Linked DNA regions of Diceros bicornis minor. The main gene of each other region encodes a partner of the protein of the gene in region 2 in a complex. Links are inferred from orthologs where the notes say so. Each region holds a gene or a part of one and is shown on either strand. Other genes may lie near its edges.

The links. The genes of interacting proteins can lie anywhere in the genome.
Region 1: CC2D2A (region 2) and MKS1 share a complex: the UniProt entries of both Homo sapiens proteins name them as parts of the tectonic-like complex. The link is inferred for Diceros bicornis minor from reciprocal best matches to the Homo sapiens genes CC2D2A and MKS1.

The regions. Positions count from the first base shown.
Region 1 is NC_080757.1:29,466,840-29,477,701, reverse strand, and holds the start of MKS1 (tectonic-like complex member MKS1), read right to left. Parts: upstream 5,682-10,862; 5' UTR 5,673-5,681; coding exon 5,593-5,672; intron 5,169-5,592; coding exon 5,059-5,168; intron 3,714-5,058; coding exon 3,643-3,713; intron 2,957-3,642; coding exon 2,801-2,956; intron 1,461-2,800; coding exon 1,363-1,460; intron 1,175-1,362; coding exon 1,046-1,174; intron 773-1,045; coding exon 668-772; intron 1-667. UniProt on the Homo sapiens protein: Component of the tectonic-like complex, a complex localized at the transition zone of primary cilia and acting as a barrier that prevents diffusion of transmembrane proteins between the cilia and plasma membranes.
Region 2 is NC_080747.1:11,983,175-11,993,991, forward strand, and holds the start of CC2D2A (coiled-coil and C2 domain-containing protein 2A), read left to right. Parts: upstream 1-6,218; 5' UTR 6,219-6,327; intron 6,328-10,817. UniProt on the Homo sapiens protein: Component of the tectonic-like complex, a complex localized at the transition zone of primary cilia and acting as a barrier that prevents diffusion of transmembrane proteins between the cilia and plasma membranes.

The DNA of each region.
Region 1 (10,862 bases), on a different chromosome or scaffold from region 2:
TGTAAGGTCAAAGCCACAAAAAGACCAACTCTGATAATAAGAGATGGGGCCCCCAGATCTAGCCCAGAGATGAGACATAACCGGCCACACACCTCACTTAGAGTATATGATGACAAAAATGGCCAGAATGGTGACCAGGAGAGGGAAACAAAATGGCAAAGCAGAAAGGGCACGAGACTCGACTCAGAGAGTACAGGTTCTGGGCTCATTTCTGCCTTAAAGTCATAGTGAAACCCTAAAGCACAACATCCCTAGCACTCCGTTCTCTCACCTGAAAAATGGACAGGTGGGTCTGGATAATTTCTAATTTACAGTTGTTATTCTAAGGCATAGAGATGAGGAACAATCAGCCCGGAGGAAAAGATCTGGCTGAGTTCATCTCACCTTGTTCTGGTTAGTTCTTACATTCAGCAGCACGAAGAATTATTTTCACTTCACTACACGGCTGAAGTTATCATTTTTGAATTGGTGCAGTTGCACATTTTCTGAGAACAAGAGCCCCAGTATCCTAAGGGTCTATGACCCAGAATAGAATGTGAACCACTGCCTGAGAATTTAGAAGTTAGAACAGAGGACGGGCTGTCTGAGAATCTTCTCCACTAGGGGTAAGAAGAGAAGCCTAGGGAAGGAATGCCAGGCTCCACTACCCCTTTCTTCCTCTCCGCACCTGTAGGGTCCTTTGAGGCCGGTGAAATCAGGTTTTACTGTGATCACACCATTGCTGTCCACCTTCAGAGTACACAGGACATGTTCATACTTCTTATAGCCAAGCCTAGAAACCAGGAAATCAACACCAAGGTTCAGGATCACTGGTCCCACCTCCAGGGAAAGAGGAAGAAGTAGTCAGCCCACATCAGGGAGAGGACAGAGGCTCTAGTGAGAATTATCATGGTAGAATACTTTCTTCTGAGTACAACTAAGAAGAAGAAAACGAAGAAAAAGTCCCTCCCTCCCATACTCCCACATGACTATAACAGGTAGGTGATGGTTAGTGAGAGATCATGAGGATGAGGACCTGAGCTGGGCAGTGAGAAGCTTCACTCACTTTCCATAGGGCCCTAGGTCTGCCATGATGTACATTGTCTGAAGAGGGGTGTTGATGACATGGTTGTTCTTGATGAACTCTTCTGAGGGTTCCCAGGTGACAATTCGCGACTTGAGGATGCTGCCCTCCCTGGGAGACACCACAGGAAGGGTCACTTCTCTGGCACCCCCTGAATAGCCTGAAGGAGGAACACAGAGGAGCACACCCAGGTGGAGGCCTACTGCAGAATGGGAAGCTCAAGTCGGTGGGCATATCGAGGACACCGGCACGAAGGACCACAAAGGCTCCCCAGAGCCCCCGTATACACTTGCACTCACATCCCTCGCTTGTCCTGCCGTCGCCGTCTGACATTTGCCATTCGCTCAACCAAGAATGATGGCACCTCGCTGGCTGCAGTGGTCATTTTCTGACAGTGCTGGGAAAAGAGAGCAGCCCTGTGTAACCCATCTAGTCAGGGCCACAAGAGACAAGTACCTGAAGGCAAGTCTTCCTTCTGAAACCTCATCCAAGACCTGAACCTAAGAGGTACAGCCACCTCACAATTACACATACTAACAGAGGGGAGCAGTGGCACAAACAATCCGCATAAGATTCCTACCATGCTTTGGTTTGCCCTAAGATTTTAGCTGTATGTTATCCTTCAGAAATGAGTTTATTTATGCTGATATTAAAATGAGTTTGCAATCCATACCAACGAAAAGTTGGGTGAGTTTGCCTGGTAGATGTTGACATTAACCAGGTAGTTGGAAGACGCCAAATGGGATACAAGTATTCTGTGATCCTCACATGGGTAACTGAGCGCTAACTGCAATTTGCTTTACTTTTCCAAAGACAACCCAAATTTTATATACTACCAACCCACTGCTTTCCTAATATAAGCATCAATCTTTCAAAAACATTCATGTAACACCTGCTCCTTGCAGAGATCTACAAGGTCACAGACAAAAATCAGAAAATACAGGCTCTACTCTCAAGGAATTTAAAATCTCACTGAGAAGATAGAACATATTATACAATGACTAAAGAAAATGTAAAACAAGTCCACAAGGGTTTGTAGGCACAGACAAATTGAGGACATAAGCCATTCCCCATGGCTATGCTGAATTCCTTTACAAACCCATATACTCAAGAGTTTTGTTTTTTTTTTTTTTTTGTGAGGAAGATCAGCCCTGAGCTAACATCCGCCAATCCTCCTCTTTTTGCTGAGGAAGACTGGCTCTGGGCTAACATCCATGTCCATCCTCCTCCACTTTATATGGGACACCGCCACAGCATGGCCTGACAAGTGGTGCATCGGTGCACGCCCGGGATCCGAACCGGAGACCCCGGGCCGCTGCAGCGGAGCGTGTGCACTTAACTGCTTGCGCCACCGGCTGGCCCCTACTCAAGAGTTTTGACTGAATCTCCTGATGAATTTTATCTAGATGGTTCGAGACTCCACCCACCTATCTTATCTCATGATACATGGAGGAAGTCAAGCTGCTTCTTCTGGTTTGTAGTCTGTAAGCCTATTATTAGAGACACTGCCAGCTCCCCCAGGCCCTCCAGCAGGCAGAGAAGGGAGCAGCAGGTCACACCACCTGCAGACTTGCCCACTCTACTCCAGCTTGGCTGCCAATAGCACAAGGCAGTTCTTCGACAGGCTGTCTGTTTCTCCCTAACAGGCTTCTAATTTAACACACAGAACCCAGTGAGGCCAGAAAGCTAGGGGAGGGAAAGGAGACGGAAGCTATGGGACCTCCGAAAGAACAATACCTCCTCCAAATTGGTGTATCTATCAGAGTCAGTGTAGGTAAAGATTCGTCGGTTCTTCCTGCCACCCGAATTCTCCAGCTTCAGGATTTCTTGACGGTACTGATGATCCAAAGGGCTCTGACAGGCTGCTTCATTTTGGTACAGATCTACTTCAAACTGAGGTCACAATGAGACAGAGATCTACTGAGAATATGTCAAACTTTTTTGTGTGTGCGTGAGGAAGATCAGCCCTGAGCTAACATCCATGCCAATCCTCTTCTTTTTGCCAAGGAAGACCGGCCCTGGACTAACATGTGTGCCCATCTTCCTCTATTTTATACGGGACGCCACCACAGCATGGCTAGACAAGCGGTGCCTCGGTGCGCGTCCGGAATCCCAACCTGTGAACCCTCGGGCCCTGGAAGCTGAGCGCACGCACTTAACCACTGCACCATGGGGCAGGCCCCAAATATGTCAAACTTTTGTTCCTATAACTGTTTAGTCAAATCAGTTCTATAGAGCTAATGCAATTTGACATGTTTTCGTAGCCAACTCTCAATTTATCTAAAGCACTGGAGGGCAGGGGATCCAAAGAATGTTAGAGCTAAAAGGAACCAGGGTGATGGTCTCATCTAACTCTGCTGTTACAGACGGCACGTGGCCCAGAGGTGAAAAGTGCCTTACTCAGGATCATAAAACTGGGTAGTGGCAGTCACTATGTTACACTGCCCCTATAAACACAACAGGGGAAAATATAAACTGCTACAACCTTTCTAGAAATCAGTTTGGCAGTATGTATCAAAGATCCTTCCCTGCTACAGCCAGGTGGAGGTAGACCTAGCAGACAAGTGACACCAGCTTACCTGGCTAAAGAGCTTCTCCTGCCACCCAATCACGACCTCCTCCTCTTCATCTTCATCTGGGCGGTGTCCACCTCCAAAGACAACAGAGTGCGTCAAACGTTTGAGCCAAAGCAGTACTACTTCTTGCTCTGTGGTTGGTTATAACCAAAGTCCCTGCTCTAATATTTGCCACAAAACCAGGTGGAGTTCAGCAATTTATTAAGCACTCACTCTACACAAAGGTTAGAGAGGCTGTGGACATGTGTAGAAGCCAGGATTAGGACCCAAGAAGTCTTAATTATGACTCTAATTTGAATAAAAATGAGTCATGCCTTCCAGGAATTATTTAATCTAATTCAGTGTCAGGAGCTGAAATTTAGATATAGGCTGAAGAGCTCTTCCTCAACCCCAACTGTCTACATTTGCTAGAAAGGAACCCTGGCATTGTTATCCTTACTATCCCTGAAGCCATATATCTAGAATCACAAGCACTTACCCTTAGGAGACCAAGTATCAGGCAAGAAGAGGAAAGGCAAATAAATGATTATTTAAAGAACCAAATCTGGGGCCGGCCCGGTGGCGCAAGCAGTTAAGTGTGCGCGCTCCGCTGCGGCGGCCCGGGGTTCGCTGGTTCGGATCCCGGGCGCGCACCGACGCACTGCTTGGTAAGCCATGCTGTGGCGGCGTCCCATATAAAGTGGAGGAAGATAGGCACAGATGTTAGCCCAAGGCCGTCTTCCTCAGCAAAAAAAGAGGAGGATTGGCGGATGTTAGCTCAGGGCTGATCTCCTCACAAAAAAAAAAAAAAAAAGAACCAAATCTAATACACTCCTGGCTGGGTATGCCTTTTTCAGAGTTACATGCTTCACAACCATCAGCCCATACTTTTGTCCAGGAATATATACGAACAGAAACAATAAAAGCAGAGAGAATAGTGACAACACAAACACACTGTCCTCGCTTCCTCACTCTTCTGGCTTCCCAAATAAGGAAAACCACAAGAGGGCAGTTGATGTTAATATGTACATCTTTCAAGCAGACCCCAATTTTAACATCGTTTTACAAAGTATTTGGATCAGATTTTCTCTTAGAAAAAAATGCCACAAATGGTATTTACGTTTCCAGGCAGATTTATAACATATCTAAAGTATGGCCTCTGTTATTTTATTATATTTGACCACAATTCAGATCAGTATTTTGACGGCAGGAATCATGTCATATTCAATTGTCATACTCAACATAATGGAGTAGTTAAAATTGCCTGGGATTAAATCTGGCTTCAACATTTACCCAGCCGAGTGACCCTTGGTAAGGAACCCAACCTATCTATGCCTTTTCTCAGATGAGAGACCTGGGTCTACTCTGTCTTAAGAGGTAACTACCGCCCCAGGCACTTCTCCAGATCCCCAAGGGGCCGCATCACCACCATACACCCACTGGCGGTTGGGTGAGGCCTAAAAGTGGCCAAGTCTATGAGGTCCTTCCCGAGCTGGGCAGCAGGCTGGTAATGGAGGAAGCTGCTTGATGTGATTCTTTGCAGGTGGACTCTGTCAGGAAAAGGGAACCCGAAATACTCGTTACAAGACATACAACTAGGAGATGAACACAGAGCAAAGATGGAAACAAAACACAGAAGAGGGTGAGGCTACCAAGGTGTACTGGGTGCAGGCAACAGAGGGGGAGGTAAGCGGGGTGTGGGGTCCTAAGGAGAAGGGCGAGAATGACAGAGTGTATTGGGGACACAGAGCTCCGAGGAATCTGGGAGAGGCAGGGTCTTAAAAGGGCTTCGGAGAGTCTGGAAGCTGTGAGTGCGGAAGGTTCCGGGCAGTGAGGGCGACGCGAGGAGAATGGGGAGGCAGTGGTCAGGATTGTAGGCGGATGTGCGTGCCTCAGCAAACGAGAAGTGAAGTTCGGGCTCGAATTATCTAAGGGCATAAAAGCACGGGGCTCTAGGTAGGGCGATGCGACTACCGGAGGCGCAGGTTGCGCACGGGGTCCCGAGAGCGATACACGGCCTCTCCGGTGTCAGTGCTCCAGAAGGCCTCCGCCATGACAGCTGCGACGCGCCGCGACTGCGCCGGAAAGCGCGTCGCTCCGTTCCCCCAGCAACGGAGACGCTGGGCTGGTGAGGTGTGGAGGCTCTGCGCGCGCAACTCGCGGTCAGCGGCGCCGCGCTGCCGCAGCCCCCCCAGGAGGGGCCTAGGCCAGGCGAAGCGTGTGTGCACGCTCAAGCTGGGGTCCTGCGAGCCACCGTTTGCAGCGCGTGAGAACAAAGGTCGCTCACACCCAAGGCTGGACTTGATGCACTTTACAAATGAGGAAACTAAGGCAGAGCCATCGGCCCCTTTCAAATAGATTCAGAAATGGTGATGGGGACCAAACCCCGGTGTCCTGAGTTCTCAAACACTACTTGTTGCACCACATCACACTGCCTTCCACTGAGTGATCGGAAACTTTGGCCTGAAAATCGGTGGATGTGACTCACAGAAAGCACCCATTTTTCCCAAAAAAGTCACGTAAGGTGATAGCACTGTGGGGAATCAGAATTTGCCACCCCAAAATGTGTCTCTTTGGCTTGATTATTTTGAAGGACAAAAGACCCTAAAGGAAACTTTGACCTTCCCCCTAATTGCCTAAAAGGCTTTAAGATTGAAGGACCTGTCCCAGCAAGGCGCTCTCACTGTAGATAATTCTAGGTGTGGTAGACAGGAAGGCATCTAGCAAGGGCCATTTTCTCAAAAGATCGCTTCCGTGTCTCATTGTCTGTAGATGGCCCAGCAAACATTTGCTTATCCAACATTTGCTTTTCCATCACCATGTACGTTGCCTTCCTCCCCCACAGTTTGGTGACCAGGATGGGGCAAAACTTAACTGGCTGGAGGCTGCTTGCTCCTGGACTACTGCAGCTGAGAGAGATCCTGGATCCCTGACAAGAGCCGGCAGGAGGTAAGAGTTCTTTCCAGGTCAGTCTCCCGGATCTCTGCCTGCATGGTCCAATGGAAGCGAAAGTGGTGAGTGTTTTTCCTTTTCTAAATTTAGATTAGCAGGAGAAAATATTGGTGAAGCTAGCTTCTTGGCCTCAGCGACTCTGGGAAATTTGGTTTGAGTACTCATTGATTTATTTATTGATCCTTTTCCTCCCAGAGATAGTCACTATTTTTCCTTGTCTCTGTCTTTGTGTCTATGTCTTGAGAGCTTGGCTTTGTGACCTTTTTGGTCTCCACCATTCAGAAGATGCAGGTACTGGCATGCATCTTGGCGATCAGTCGAGTAGACTGGGGTCTGAGATGCACTCTCTTTGTCTGGCTGTATCAGCTCTCAGGGGGGTTTGTCATAAGGCATCCCACTTGCTTTCATAAGGGAATTCTGTCATCTCAACCTTTGTGGCTTGTTAATGCTGGTCTTACTGCCTGGGCAATGAAGGCCCTTGCTTTCTTAGTATTTTTGTGAATGAACTTTCTGGATCTTGTGAGGGCTGCTTCTTTTGCACTATGTTTTGGGGATGGCTCCGTGTCCATGGTTAAGCCATAAGGCTTATTGGTTTTGAAGCCAGGTACTTGAGGGTTACTGTAAATATTCAATAAGATTACTTTTCAACCTTGTTCCCAACACAGGCGTAGATGAAAATAAGTTAATCTTGTCAATTTGCTGTTTTCTTGTTTAACCTGAGGAGTGACTCAAGGATCACAAGGATTTATGAGCTTGTTTTACAGAAGAAAAAGAATGCCTTCAAGGATCCGCAGATAACCAGCCCCCAGCTGCTGTGGACACCCAGAAGTCAGATTGCCCAGGGGCTTATCGGGAGTGAAAGAAACATGGATTACTCCTTTGTTTCTTTGAAACTCCTCCTGCCAAGCCACTTAGCTCTATAAAATCCCTTGCTTTCTTCTCTTAAGGCAGATTTGAGAGAACCTATCCTCCTGACTTCTCGTGTGGCCAGTTCAAATAAACCTTTCTCCATCTCCAAGCACTGATATCTCAGCGATTGGTTTACTGCACACCAGGCACATGAACTTGAGATTAAGAAGTTCAGTATCAGTTTGAGTAGCTATTAAGATCCTCCTCCTCAATGTGGCCAGATGATGGATCATTTAAATTGGAAAAACTTCTCTAAATTATAAAACATTTTTTGAGAACTCTCATCATAATTGTTTTATTGGTAACTATGAAAAGACCAAATTAAAAATGAAATACAAAACAAATAATGACTAGCCTTCAGACCCTGACTCAGGTTACAATTAAATTGAGAAACTGTAAAAATATAAGTGTTGATGAGATTATAGAAGTTGAAGTGTTTGAGCTAATATTGTACAGAGGCTATATCAACTTTGCCTGAGTGTGTTTTGAAAATGGACGTTATATCTGGCTGGGAACACTTCCCCTTCCAATATTATAAGACTGAGACCTATTGATAAAGTCCTAATGGAACTATCATTAGAGGTATAAGAGTTAATGGAATTCAGATGAAATTTTGTAGAAAATTGATATATTTATGGGCTTTATGTGAAGTGATTGCATCTCTTTTTGCCTGATTGTATTATAGATCGTATTATGGGGATAGACATCCTGTCTTACTGGGGAACATTTCCCCTGCCTGATTGTAAGACAGCATATAAATCTGCCCTTCAGACAATGTTAATTAAATATACTAAAGGGAAGTCAATAGAGTTGCCTGAGCCTGTACTGTATGAGATAAAAACTAGAGGCTAATATCAGGTGCTAATAAAAAAAAAAAGGTAATAAAAGCTCCTCCCCACCCAAGGTAAATTGGTCTAGGATTAAATTGTACACTTAGAAAGAAGGCCTTTGTTAAATGCTTTATGCAGACTTTTAAAGGTGTGGTACATTGTCCTAAAGTTTTAAAACAGTAGCTGTGGAGTCTTTGTGTATGTGTGTCTATATGTATATTATATATGTGTGATATTTTACCTCTGGAAGCTATGGCCAAGATTAAGAGCTCTGTTTAATTGGCTTAAAGTAAGCACTTACATAAATTATTTCTAAATGTAATAGAAACTAATTCAAATGTCTTTCAAGTTAACATGATATAAAACAATCTTTGGTAAATGCAAACTTGTTTAAGTTTGTTGGTTTGATTGAAATAAACATGTCCTCAGAGTTATCGGCGTTGGATATCATGCAGACATGCAGCCTGGGTTTACTAGTCAAATAAGCTCATGTTGGGCTGGCCCTGTGACCTAGTGGTTAAGTTCAGTGCACTCTGCTTCAGCAGCCTGGGTTTGGTTCCTGGGCACAGACCTACACCACTCATTGGGGGCCATGCTGTGGCGGCGACCCACATACAAAATAGAGGAGGATTGGCACAGATGTTAGCTCAGGGTGAATCTTCCTCAGCAAAAATATAAAATAAAATTAAAAAATAAGCTCATGTTATCTCTGTTAAAAATTTGTCAGGAAAATAATAGCTTAAAATGATAAGCTAATTTTGTCTAATGTCTCATGAAGTTTTCGTGGGTAATCTAAACATAGTTGTTGGGAGCAAATGATTTAGATGTAAGTGAGATAAGAGTTTATAGATAAACTTTTAGCAATAATTATATTTTATGGCATGAGTATTTAAAATAACTTCCAAAATCTCTTTAGTAACTTGAAATTTTGAAGTTTTGCTTGGCTAAATTAAATGATGGAAATTTCACTGAATATCAAGATCGTTTCTAAATAAGATAAAATATTAGATGTTAATTATTAATATAGGTTCATCTACTTTTGGCTTCTTATTACAGAGAAACTAAAAAGTGTTTAGGTCTTTTAGAAAACATGTCTTGTGTTTTATTAAAAGATTGTACTGGGGGCCAGCCCCGTGGCGTAGCAGTTAGGTGCACGTGCTCCGCTGCTGGCAGCCTGGGTTTGGATCCCGGGTGCACACTGATGCACTGCTTGTAAGGCCATCCTGTGGCAGCATCCCACATAAAGTGGAGGAAGATCGGCACAGATGTTACCTCAGGGCCAGTCTTCCTCAGCAAAAAAAAAAAAAAAAAAAAGAGGAGGATTGGCATGGATGTTAGCTCAGGGCTGATCTTCCTCACATACACAAAAAAAGATTGTACTATGAAGTAGCATGTTTCTAGAAATTATGAAAAGTGTTTATAAACTTGCCAAGCCACAGAATGCTACTGTAAAAGACAGTTTATAATTGCTTACTTCTCAGTTTTCACTAAAAATTAAGGTCTATAAGGGTTAAAAATTCTAATATGTGATTAAAACTACTAAAAATTGATAAGGAAAACATCTTTGTATTCAAGGAAAGTAAGATGTATGTTTTCAGTAAAGAAGGTATGAGAAATAAAGATTTTTGTTTGTTAAAAAGGTTATAGAAGGTTTATAAAAAGAAAAACTGAGAAAAGAATTTTGTACATGGTCAAGTTGGCTAAGATTAAAGTGGATTTAATTAAGTAAATGAGTTTTAATATCAAAAATAAGCTGGTGCAAAATTAGAATTTGGTTGTCTCTCTCTTGAAAGGATAATTTTCTTAAACTTTTAGTCTGCTCTTAATAATAAATTATAAAAGGTTTTTCTTTACCTTTGAGTAAATCTACGTAAAAGAAAGAAAAGCTATGTTTTGTCAAAATAATTTCCTATGTTCAAAAAGGCTGAAGTCTCTCTATTAAGCTTTTTTAAACTGTTTGGCTCTCTCTGCCTTCAAAATCTAATTGTCACTTTGGTTAAATGGATAACTAAGCATTGTTTCATAGGAACCTATGACATTATGTGGGTAAATGTTATTGATATAAGTGTTTTTAAAAAATTATATAACATTCCTAAAACGCTGATCTATCCTGGTTGTCAGTTATAATTCCAATTATTATTTTAGTGTTGTGTCACAGAAATGGCCAAGTTTTGTGTTTTGTTTTGTTTTTGTGTGTGTGTGAGGAAGATTAGCCCTGAGCTAACATCCGATGCCAATCCTCCTCTTTTTGCTGAGGAAGATTGGCCCTGGGCTAACATCTGTGCCCATCTTCCTCTACTTTATGTGGGATGCCACCACAGCATGGCTTGACAAGCGATGCGTCAATGCATGCCTGGGATCTAAACCCACGAACCACAGGCTGCTGAAGAGAAGCGCACGTATTTAACTGCTACGCCACCAGGCCAGCCCCCAAGTTTTTTTATTTTTATCAATTGCCATTTTTAAGTCTTTTGTCATTTACAGACGGTTTTGTTTTACTCTGCTTTTGCAAACATGTTTCATCTTCAGAGAAATTCATGGAAAGGACTCTGA
Region 2 (10,817 bases):
TGACTATACAAACAAGAGGTTCAGATTTGCTGGAGTTCAAGATATATTTCAGGGGGAGATGTATATAATTCAGTGAGTTGGAAAATATAAATCAAATGTTGAAGAGCATGGTTTTATAAAATTTATGATTCAAAGGTGATTCTTCAGCTTGCAAGCTGAGCCTTATTTTAGTGATGTGTTTTCCCTTGTGATACATTTTTCTTTCACGGAGAATAAATCAGCCACAATCAAAACTATTATAAAATTCCAAGAACCGAGTAAGAATGACACATTCATCTAAAGCTGAAATTGTGTTCCACATGTTCAGGTGTGAAAAGCATATTTTAGTCATTTATTGACCTAAATAATGTGTCATTGCAGCTTTTTTCAAAGAGAATATAGCATGGTAGTCTCATCTCAGGTTCTATGATTTTTCCATGTTTATTCCAGCGTCCTAATCTCCCAAAAAGGCTTCAAATGCATCATGCTTTAGTGGCATTACCCTTGAAGGCATTGAATGCATTTACCTATTTTTTTTTTTTTAGGTATACATGTAAAAATTATATGCCTCAGAATCCCATGTAAAAAAACAATGACCACATTTTATTCATTCATTCATCTATTTATTCATTTATTTAAAGATGTGATTGCTACAGTTACTATTACTGTGTAACAAATAATCCCAAAATGCAATTGCTTAAAACAATCATTTTATTATGCACATGGATTCTGTGAGTCAGGAATTTGAACAGAGCACAGCTGGTTGACTAATATATACTCCACAGTATCTGGAGAAAATCTGAACCCTGGAAGGTGACTCAATGTCTAGGGGTTGGAAACATTCAAAGGCTTGTTCATGCGCATGTCTGGAGCCTTGGCTAGGACTGTCAAACAGAGTGTGTACACATGGCCTTTCCATGTGACCTGGCTCCCTCACGGTATGGTGGCCTCAGAATATTCAAACTTCTTACATGGCAGCTCAAGACTCTAACTACATAAGTTCTAGCAAACAACATAGAAACCACTTTGTCTTTTGTGACTCAGCCTCAGAAATCAATCAGCAAGTCAGCATCACTTCCACCATACTCTGTCTGGTCAATGTGATTATAAATCCACTCAGATACAAGGGGAAGGGAAATAGACCCCACTTCTTGTTGGGAGGAAAGTCAAAGAATTTGTAGGTTTTGTTTTAAAACTACCACAGGGGCATAATAAGATAGAGCACAGGATTTTTATTATTAGGAATAATAAGAAGGCTATAACTACAGGTATATCAGAGTTTAAAAATAATAAGTAATATTTTGACTAATGCTATCCCAATCAATTTAAAAACAAAGAAAAAGGACAATTTCCTAAAAATATATAATATACTGAAACTGAAAGAAGAAATGTAAAATCTGAATAGGTTTATAAGCATTAAAGAAATTAAATCCGTGGTCAAAAATTGAGCTACAGTCACATCCCCCCCCCACACACACACATACTGTTTCTCCAAAGATATACAACTAGCTAATAAGCTCAATGAATTGTGGTGCTCAACATTACTACTCATAAGGAAATGCAAATTAAAACCATGGGAGATACCACTTCATACCTACTAGGATGACTATCATCAAAAAATAGAAAATAATAAATATTGGTGATGATGTGCAAGAATATAAAATGGTTCAGCTGCTATGGAAAACAGTTTGGCAGTTTCTCAAAAAAGTTAACAGAGAATTACTGTATGACCCAACAATTTGACTGCTAAGTATATACCTAAAAGAATTGAAAACAGAGACTTGAACAGATAGTCGTATGTGACTGTTCACTGTAGCATTATTCACACTAGCCAAAAGGGGGGAACAACCCAAGTGTCCATCAGCATATGAACAGATAAGCAAAATGTGGTATATCCTTACAGTGGAATATTAGTCAGCCTTATAAAGGAATGTGGTACTGACACATGCTACAACATGGATGAACATTGAAAACATTGTGCTAAGTGAAATAAGTCAAACACAAAAGAACAAATATTGTATGATTCTCCTTATATGAAATAACTAGAATAGCGACAGAAAGTGGATTAGAGGTTACCAGGGGCTGGGCTGGGTTACCAGTGAGAGAAATGTAGAGTTATTGTTTAATGGGTACAGAGTTTCTATTTGGAGTAATGAAAAAGTTTTGGAAATAGTGGTGATGGTTGCACAACATTGTGAATGAATACATATCCACCTAAAACTGATGCAATATTATATGTCAATTATATCTGAATAAAACTGGGAAGAATGGCCCAAATGCAAATTTTGTTATATAGATATATTTTACCACAATAAAAAAATATATATCTCCAGACCCAAAAGACTTTATAGACAAGTTCACAGAACAGATACCGTGTGCATGTGTGTGCGTGTTTGCATGTATGTGTGTGAGAGGGAGAGAGAGAGAGAGACAGAGACAGAGAGAGAAATAGAGACAGAGAGACAGAAGGAGAGAGACAGAGAAGGACAGAGAGATTAATCTGCTTTGTTTTGAGATTAGAGTATCCTTTATACTAAAATAATACAAGAAAGGAAAAACAATCTCAATTTTGAAAGTAAAGCCAAAAAGTCTAAATATTAGTAACTAAATCCAACAATTAATCTTTTAAACATCTCGACCAAGTTTAGCTTATCCCAGGAATGCAAGAAAAGTTTGACATTAAAAAGCCTGTTAATGTAATTCACCACATTAAAAAATGAAAGAAGAAAAATCGTATTTGATTACCTCAAAAGATGCAGGAAAAAACCTCGTGATACATGATTCAACACTTATTCTTGATTAAGAACTCTTTAGCCAGCTAGGAACACTTAACCTAAAAGAGTGAGATTTTTGCATTTTGATTTAAAACAAATCTGCTAGATTCGTTTATTTTGCTTGCATCAGAATTTCTGCAAGAAATGATGTTTTTGAATGATGTTTTTTAATAATTTCAGACCTTTGTGAGGAGATGTATAATTCTTATGAACTGGTTTAGTTTAGTTAAATATTAAAAGATAAGAGAGGTCATAATCAGAAGGTTATTAGCACAAGAGTGGTGAACAAATCCTACCTCTTATGACAGTTGACCACTTTGAGTACACGATCTCTTACCGTAAACCTCTGCCATAGACTGAACTGTGTCCCCCCAAAACTCACATGTTGATCCCCAACCCTCAATATGACTGTATTTGGAGACAGGGATTTTAGGCGGTTATTAAGGTTAAATGAGGTCCTCAGGGTGAAGTCCTAATCTAATAGGATTGGCGGCCCCATTGGAAGAAGAAGAGAGAGTTCTCTCTCTCCCCATCCCAATGCACCAAGGAAAGGCCGTGTGAGGACCCAGCAAGAAGGCAGCCATCTACAAGCCGGGAAGAGAGCTCTCACCAGAAACCGAAGGGACTGGCACCTTGATCTTGGATTTCTCAGCCTACAGAACTGTGAGAAAATAAATCTCTATTGTTTAAGCCACCCGCTCTATGGTATTTTGTTAAAGCAGCCTGAGCTAAGACAACATCCACACTTTTTTAATTTAATAAACCTTACAGCATTTACTATGTGCCAGGATTTGACCAATATTAACTTACTAAATCTCATAACAACCCTCTGGAGTAGTCACTATTATTATTATTAACCTCAATTTACAGATGAGGAAACTGAAGCCTAGAGAAGTTAAGGAAGTTGTTGAAGATCCTCAACCTTAAGATCCTGCATTCAACTTCTTTCTCTCTTCTCTCCTGGGACTCCACTAGATGTGGTGGACCACTCAATTTCTCCACCATGTCTTTGATCCACTCTTTCCTATTTTCCATTTTTCTGTGCCACATTTTAATTTTTTAAATTTCTCTTTTGCATCATTAATTCTCTTTTCAGCTCTCTCATTAGTAGTTTAACACATCCTTTGCTTTAAAAAAAAAATCATAACTTTACTATTCATTTCTAAAAGTTCTAGCCGGTTCTTTTTCACATTTGCCTAATCTTTTTGATAGCATCTCACTCTTCTCATATTTTCAAAGCCTCCTTTTCAGTTCTTATATGGTCATTGTTTTTCTATATTCTCCATCTGATCATTGTATTATCAGAAGTTCTTGAGGATCTAGTAGTGCTCTCTGATTGTCTGCAGACTCTTGATTGTTTCCCCCTGTGTTGTCTAATTTTGGATTGTGAGCTCATCTTCAGCAAGGTTAATCTGTGGCCATCCTGAACTGACTACTTGAAAGTGTGTCCCTCCAGAAAAGTTTTGTATTTTTCTTTTGTGCTCTTGCTTGGCACCCCACAGGGATCCAGTAGCCTGAGACCATTTTTTAAAATTTGTCACTTAGGGGGTTCCTAAGTGATATAGGTAGCATAAACAAGATGCTTCAACAGCATAGTGCAAGCCAATGGTTATGAATTCTCTGGAGAATATTTTTTCCACCGTATGCAGAGCACACACTACAAGTTCTCTTGTTGTCTCCTTATGCCAGCACTAAATAATAGATAGTCTCTTTCAATCTAAAAGCCTGTTCTTCCACTTCTGAGATGTTTTCTAATATTACTGCTTTGATAAATTCTACCTTTTCATTTCCTTGGTTCTCTCTTTCTATAACTACAGGTGTGGAATTTCTTAACCTGAAATCCTCTCATTTTCTCTATAATACTTTTTTGTAAGGGCGATATGCTTGTTTTTTCATTGGAGAATTCAGAAACGACGATATCTTGGATCTAGTCTTTGTGGCTATTCAGTTTCTCCAGAAAACAATATTTCACGTTTTCCAATTTGATGCCTGTGGAGGTGGCACAGGGGGACCTAAAGATATATGTTTAGTTGCCTCAGTTCTGTGAAAAGGAGAGCAACCTGCCCACCTCTCCATTTTGTATCCAGTTTCCAGCCCTGAGACTCACCCACCCTCTGCCAAACCTGGGAACTTGAGACCTAGTGTCTCTGGTTCAACTTCCCTGGAGAAGAAAGGTGGCTTTTTGGACTGTAGATGGTGTTCTCCTCGTGTCTTCAGATCATCTTCCCTCTGTGTGTGTCCGTCTCTGTGCCTGAATTCCCCCTTTTTAAAAGGACACAGTCATATTGGATCAAGGCCCACCGAATGACCTTATTTTAACTTGATTACCTCTGTAAAGACCCCATCTCCAAATAAAGTCACATTCTGAGGTACAGTGGGTAGGACTGCAACATTTCTTTTTTGGAGTAACACAGTTCAACCCATAACACCACTGAGCCTAATTAAGAGCCTCTCTGGAGTTCTGCAGAGTAGATCAGGTCATTTCCTCATTCTTACTGCTACCTGCCCCCCACCACCACACACACACACACACACACACACACACGCAGATACACGCACAGAGACACACATACATACACACACAGACACACACGGACACATGTACACAGACACACATGCAGATACACACACAGACATACACATACACAGAGACACAGGGACACACATACATACACATACAGAGACATGTACACAGATACTTACACACGCAGAGACATACACACAGATACACAGACACACAGACACACATAGACACATACACACGGGCTCACATAGACACAGACGTACACATACACACATTCAGACACACAGATACACACAGAGACCCAAATACACACACATACACACGTATACTTGGAGTGTGGCTTTCTTTGGTCTGTTCATTCCATTACTCGTCTATCTACTTTGCCTCTTCTCCCATTTCCTTTGCTTTTTTGAGCCATAACATTTATGTCCTCTTTCAGTAATTTTAGAGGGATTCAGAGAATAAGCAGAGATTAGCCTGTACGTTCAATCTTCCACCTTTAACCAGAAAACACTCCAGAGCCACATTCGCTGGTGCCCAAAGCCCCTCCAGGAAGCCTTTGCTGTGGATAAGCTGGACACCCTCACCCTACAACTGCGGCCTTTTATGGTTTTAACCACCCACCTCTGAGCATCGCCTGTGTTTTACCAGAAATGCCCAGTGACCCCTGATGACATGAGGGAGGCTATCTTACAACTTGACCTAATTTTTGCCCAGGTCCCCCAAGCTGACTTCTCTTTGTCCTTCTCCTGTAGGCTGTGCTCCTCTGATCACCCCACATGTTTGTTGTGTTCCACTGCTGGAAGTAACCTGCCACTTTAAAAGAAAAAAAAGCCACCGAGTGACCTTCCTTAGGAACGGGTTGCTAAGCGGGTGTTTTTGCTTGGAGACTTGGCTGCAGCTTCCAGGGAGCAGCCTAGGGGCCGCCCCAGCATTCAGCATTTCCTTTTGGACTCTTTTAGAAGATTCAACAATAGGACCTGTCTCTCTCCACTTTCCCTTCGTCCCAGAAAGCAGAGTCTGCACAGCGCCTTTGTAAAGTTCCTTAAGGTAAAGCAGTTCTTCCCGGGAGCGGGGCTGCTGCAATGGTGTCCCGCTCTCAGTCCCCAGGCTTGGAGTTCAGCCTCTCCCCTCGGTAACCTGAGTGGATTTAATGAACTGTAAATTAAGGGTTCTCATCATTACTATTGATGTTTTACTTTCTGGAATTGAAGCACAGAGCGTTCCTTGGACTGCTTAGATTGAGCTGCTGCCCGGTGTCTGGTGTGCAGGCTATGTCAGTCAGGCTCATCACAGCCCCTGGGTGGAATTCCTCCCAGAGGGTCGGTCCCTCTGCTTCCTGCCTGGGACTTCCATGCCGTCCTGTTGCATCCGGTCTCCCAGAAACATTTGCTGCATGTTGCCGTTCTGGGCCTTTCAGTTCCAATTTGTTTGAGGGGGGAAGTACTAGTTGTTGCAGCCTTCACCCTTCCTCCCATTAGACAGAGAAAAGGCCACTACAGACACAGGGCTGTGGATTGCTGTTCTCTCCAAAAGACCTCAAGATAATCTGCTGGCTGCGATTTAAGCTGATTATTTCCCTTCATTGCAAAGAGGTGCTATGAAAAGCTAATAAATCTAATGGGAAATACAAGTCTGTGGTTGGATTTTCATATCACCTTTTCTGCAAGTAAATTCAGCACCAGAATGAAATCTCTCTCGATATCTCTCTCCTAGAGCTCATTTAAAGAGTCTTTCATTCAAACATTTATCGGGCATCCACAGTGCACCAGGCAATGTGCTGAAGTTGAGAGTGTGCAAAAGTGAATAAGATAGGTCAGAAGCTCTGAGTTTCCTGGGAAGACAGACCTGTAAACAGATCATAACAGTAGAGTGAGCTGAGTGCCATAGGAGATTTATCACAGGGTTTAAAGTGCTTAGAGCACAGCAGACTACTCCCAGGGAGGGCCTGGGGGCACCTGGTTCATCGTGTGTGCGCCCTGGGCATATATCACAGAGCGCAGCTCAAATATGGGATTTATATGTGCTCTTCAAGGGCGATGTGTGTTATATTGAGCTGATTAAGGTCCCTAACCTTAAACTATGGGAAGCTACGGCTGGAATAACTTGTAGAATTAGGTAATAAATTTTAAAAAGGGTGTGTGTGGCCCCTGCCCAGCGTAGGTCCAGGCTCCAGCTCTGCCAGTCTGGACAGAAAAAGCTAAGCACTGTACACAGGGAGAAATGCCCATGGGTGTGAGGGCAGGGGAAGGCTTCAGAAACACCATAAATAGAAACAGAAAGAAAACTGCCCTGGGCCCAGCTCAGGGAAGGGAGAGGGGATATTGGTTATTAGAGCCAGAGAGTTGAACTTGGGAACCAAAGATGGTACAGGGGGCCTGATCTAAGGTCTTTCTTATGACTCTCCTTCTGTCCCCTAAGCTCTTTCCCTCCCCACACGATTCTTCTACTTTCCCTCTCTACCATCACATTTTTTAATAATAACGCTTACTGGTATTGAAAGCCTGGTCCAAGCTAGGCATTTTACTACACACATTTTATCATTTAACCCTTATAAAATCATCACCCACTGAGGTAGGATTTATGATGGCAAGTTTACAGATGTAGAAATCTCAGAGAGGTGAAGGCATTGCTCCAAGAGCACACAGCTGATAAATAGAGCTGGAATTGGAACCCAGGTCCATATAATTTTTTACAAAGGCCTCACTCTTTCTATAAACCCATGTTTTCACAGTTCTGGAGTAGGATGCACCCACTGTATTGTTTTTTAAGCAGCCAAGGTTGAGATGCAGTGCATACAATGGTGCCCTTTTCATATATCTTCATTCCTTTTCCCCTACATCCTGTAGAATTTGCCACAGGGGCCCCTGGATAGGACTTTGATCCTCTTGACCCTCAGAGATAGTCCATTTGTTTGGATGAAGGTGTCACTACTTTCCTTGAAATATGTCTGTGGTTTCTGCACTGAGTTAAATAAATCATTGACTTAAAGTAGCCAAAGCCCGTTCTCAGTGGGACAATGCTCCACTTCAACTCAATCATCAATATTTCCAGAATAGTTGGCTAGCATAGAATGGTAACTGATATCATCGTAAAAGCGAGACTAAATGGTGAGGCAGAGTGGCACGGAAGAGGACTCTGGGATCACAGTCTTGGGGTCAAATTCTGAATGTGACGTTGAATAACTATCACCTTGGGCAAGTCATGTAACCTGTCAGAGGTTAACCTCAGAGGAAACCTTGGTTTCCTCGTATGTAAATTGAGGCATGTGCTACTAAGTTAGCAGAGTTATTGTGAGGCCTCATGATCACATGTATCTAGAGAGAGCACAAAATAAGTCTGCAGTAAATCACAGCTCTTATTTTGATGTTACCAATAGAAATATATTAACAAGCGCTCAACGCAAGATGACAAGCTGCATATTAAAGTGGGGCAATATTAATTTATCTTTTCTTAGCAACAGTGTTCATGAAAACATAAATTTTGATGTTATTTGATTTCCTTAGAAACTCATTCAAAAGTAATGATCAGGAAAGAATGAGAAGAAAAAAATCAACCCCATTACATTTTTCATTTTCTACTTCTATTTCTTTCTTTCACATACAATATATTTTTTTAATTTATTGAGAAAGAATCTTTTTTCAGTCACTAAAATATATCACAGTTCTTTTGTTCCCGTTCATAATTACCAGAGGTGTTTATTAGAGAGGTTTCGTGTCCTGTGGCATTTCATTTTTATTATCTGCCCCTCCTTCTCTCTAGATTACCTCCCCATCCTTTTGTTTTCCTAGCTGCTTTCATCATCTCTCTTCCTCTGTTTTTTGTAGCCCACGAGGAGGTCTGGATGGGAGACAATGGAATTTCAGATGTTTTATTTCCCTTTAACGTGCTAATCCCCCACTAGGGTCAGTGAAACCTTGAATACCTCAGATGAACTGCTTAAATGACTGAGTCCCAGCTAGGAGTCAGATTCCACGGATATGAGGAAGGGCTTATGATTTGTCAGCCCTGATGTTTCTCGCCATGTTTTCTCATTTCATGCTTCGCAGCAGCCCAAAAAGGCTGATGAAGCTTTGAAGCACTCCAGAATGTGGCCATGGAGATGCAGTCAGTATATAGTGATTTAGTCTTCCACTCAACAAATATTTATTGCGTGTCTGCTGTGTGCCATCATCCTAGACTCTGGGGGTAAACAACGAATGAATATCCTGCCCTCCTGAAGCTTATATTTCAATAGGAACGGGCAGACAATAACAAATAAGTACATATGTTGACTGGTGATAAGAACTGTGGAAAAAGAAATCACTATAAGGCAGTTAGGGGGTTCCAGGAGGTTATCATTGTATTGTGAGTGTACAGGGAAGACCTCTCTGATAAAACGAAAGTTGAGCAGAACTGAGTTCTGAGGGAACTGAAAGAGAGAGAGACATGCAGATATCTTGGGAAAGAGAATTCTAGGCAGAGGGAACAGCAAGTGCAAAGGCCCTGAGGCAAGAGGATGCAAGTGCAGATCATGTAGGGCCTTGTATGCTATTGAAAGGATTTTGAATTTTACTCTGTTGAGAAAGGAAAGTCATTGGAGGATTTTGAGTGGAGGAATGACATGATTTCACTTAAATTTTAAATAATTCACTCTCACTTCAATGTAGAGACTGGACTGTAGGTAAGAAGGTGGGAAGCAGAGAAGATAGGAGGTTCTCCCACTAGGCCACATGAGAGACCACGGTGCTAGACCAGAGTGATAATAGTGGAGGTGCTTGGAGGTGGTTGGGTTCTTAACATAATTTGAAGGCCAAGCTGGCAGGACTTCTATGGATTGGATGCGGTGTGGCATATGAGAGTCAGAGAGGAGTCAAGAATGACTGTCAGGTTTCTGGCCTGAGAAAAACGGAGTTCTGTTTATTGCAACAAGGAAGGTTGCAGGACAAGCAGATTCAGGGGTAATGACGCAGAGCTTCGTTTGGGGCACGTTAAGCCAAGTGAAGGCATCCATCAAGCACTTGAATGTTTGAGTCTGGAGTTCTGTGGAGATGTGTGGCCCCAGGATCTAAATTTGGGGAATATCAGTGAGTGGATGGTATTTAAAGCCAAGAGACAGGACGAGAAGGCTAGGGGAACGAGTTGAGGCAAGGCTGGGCCCCAGGCACTCTCACATGTAGTGGTTGGGAGATGAGGACAGACCAGCCCAGGAGTTTGAAAAGGAGCAGCCAGTGGGTAGGAGGAAAACCAGGAGAGCATGTCCCAGAAGCCAAATGAAGAAAGTATTTCAAGAAAAAGAAAGTAATTGGTCACTTTCATGACTAAATGCCTCTTACGTGTCAAATAAGATGAGGACTGAGGATTGATCATTAGATGTGGTGACACAAGGGTCCCTGGCAAGAGCAGTTCCAGGGAGTGTTGGGCCCAAAACACTGATTTGGAAAGAGAGGGTTTGAGGAGTTTTCCTGTAGAGGGCTGAAAGTTGAGCAACAGCTAGGAAAAGATGTGAAGTCCAGAGAGAGCTTTTTTCAACGAAGGGGCCAATTACAGCACTTTGTAAA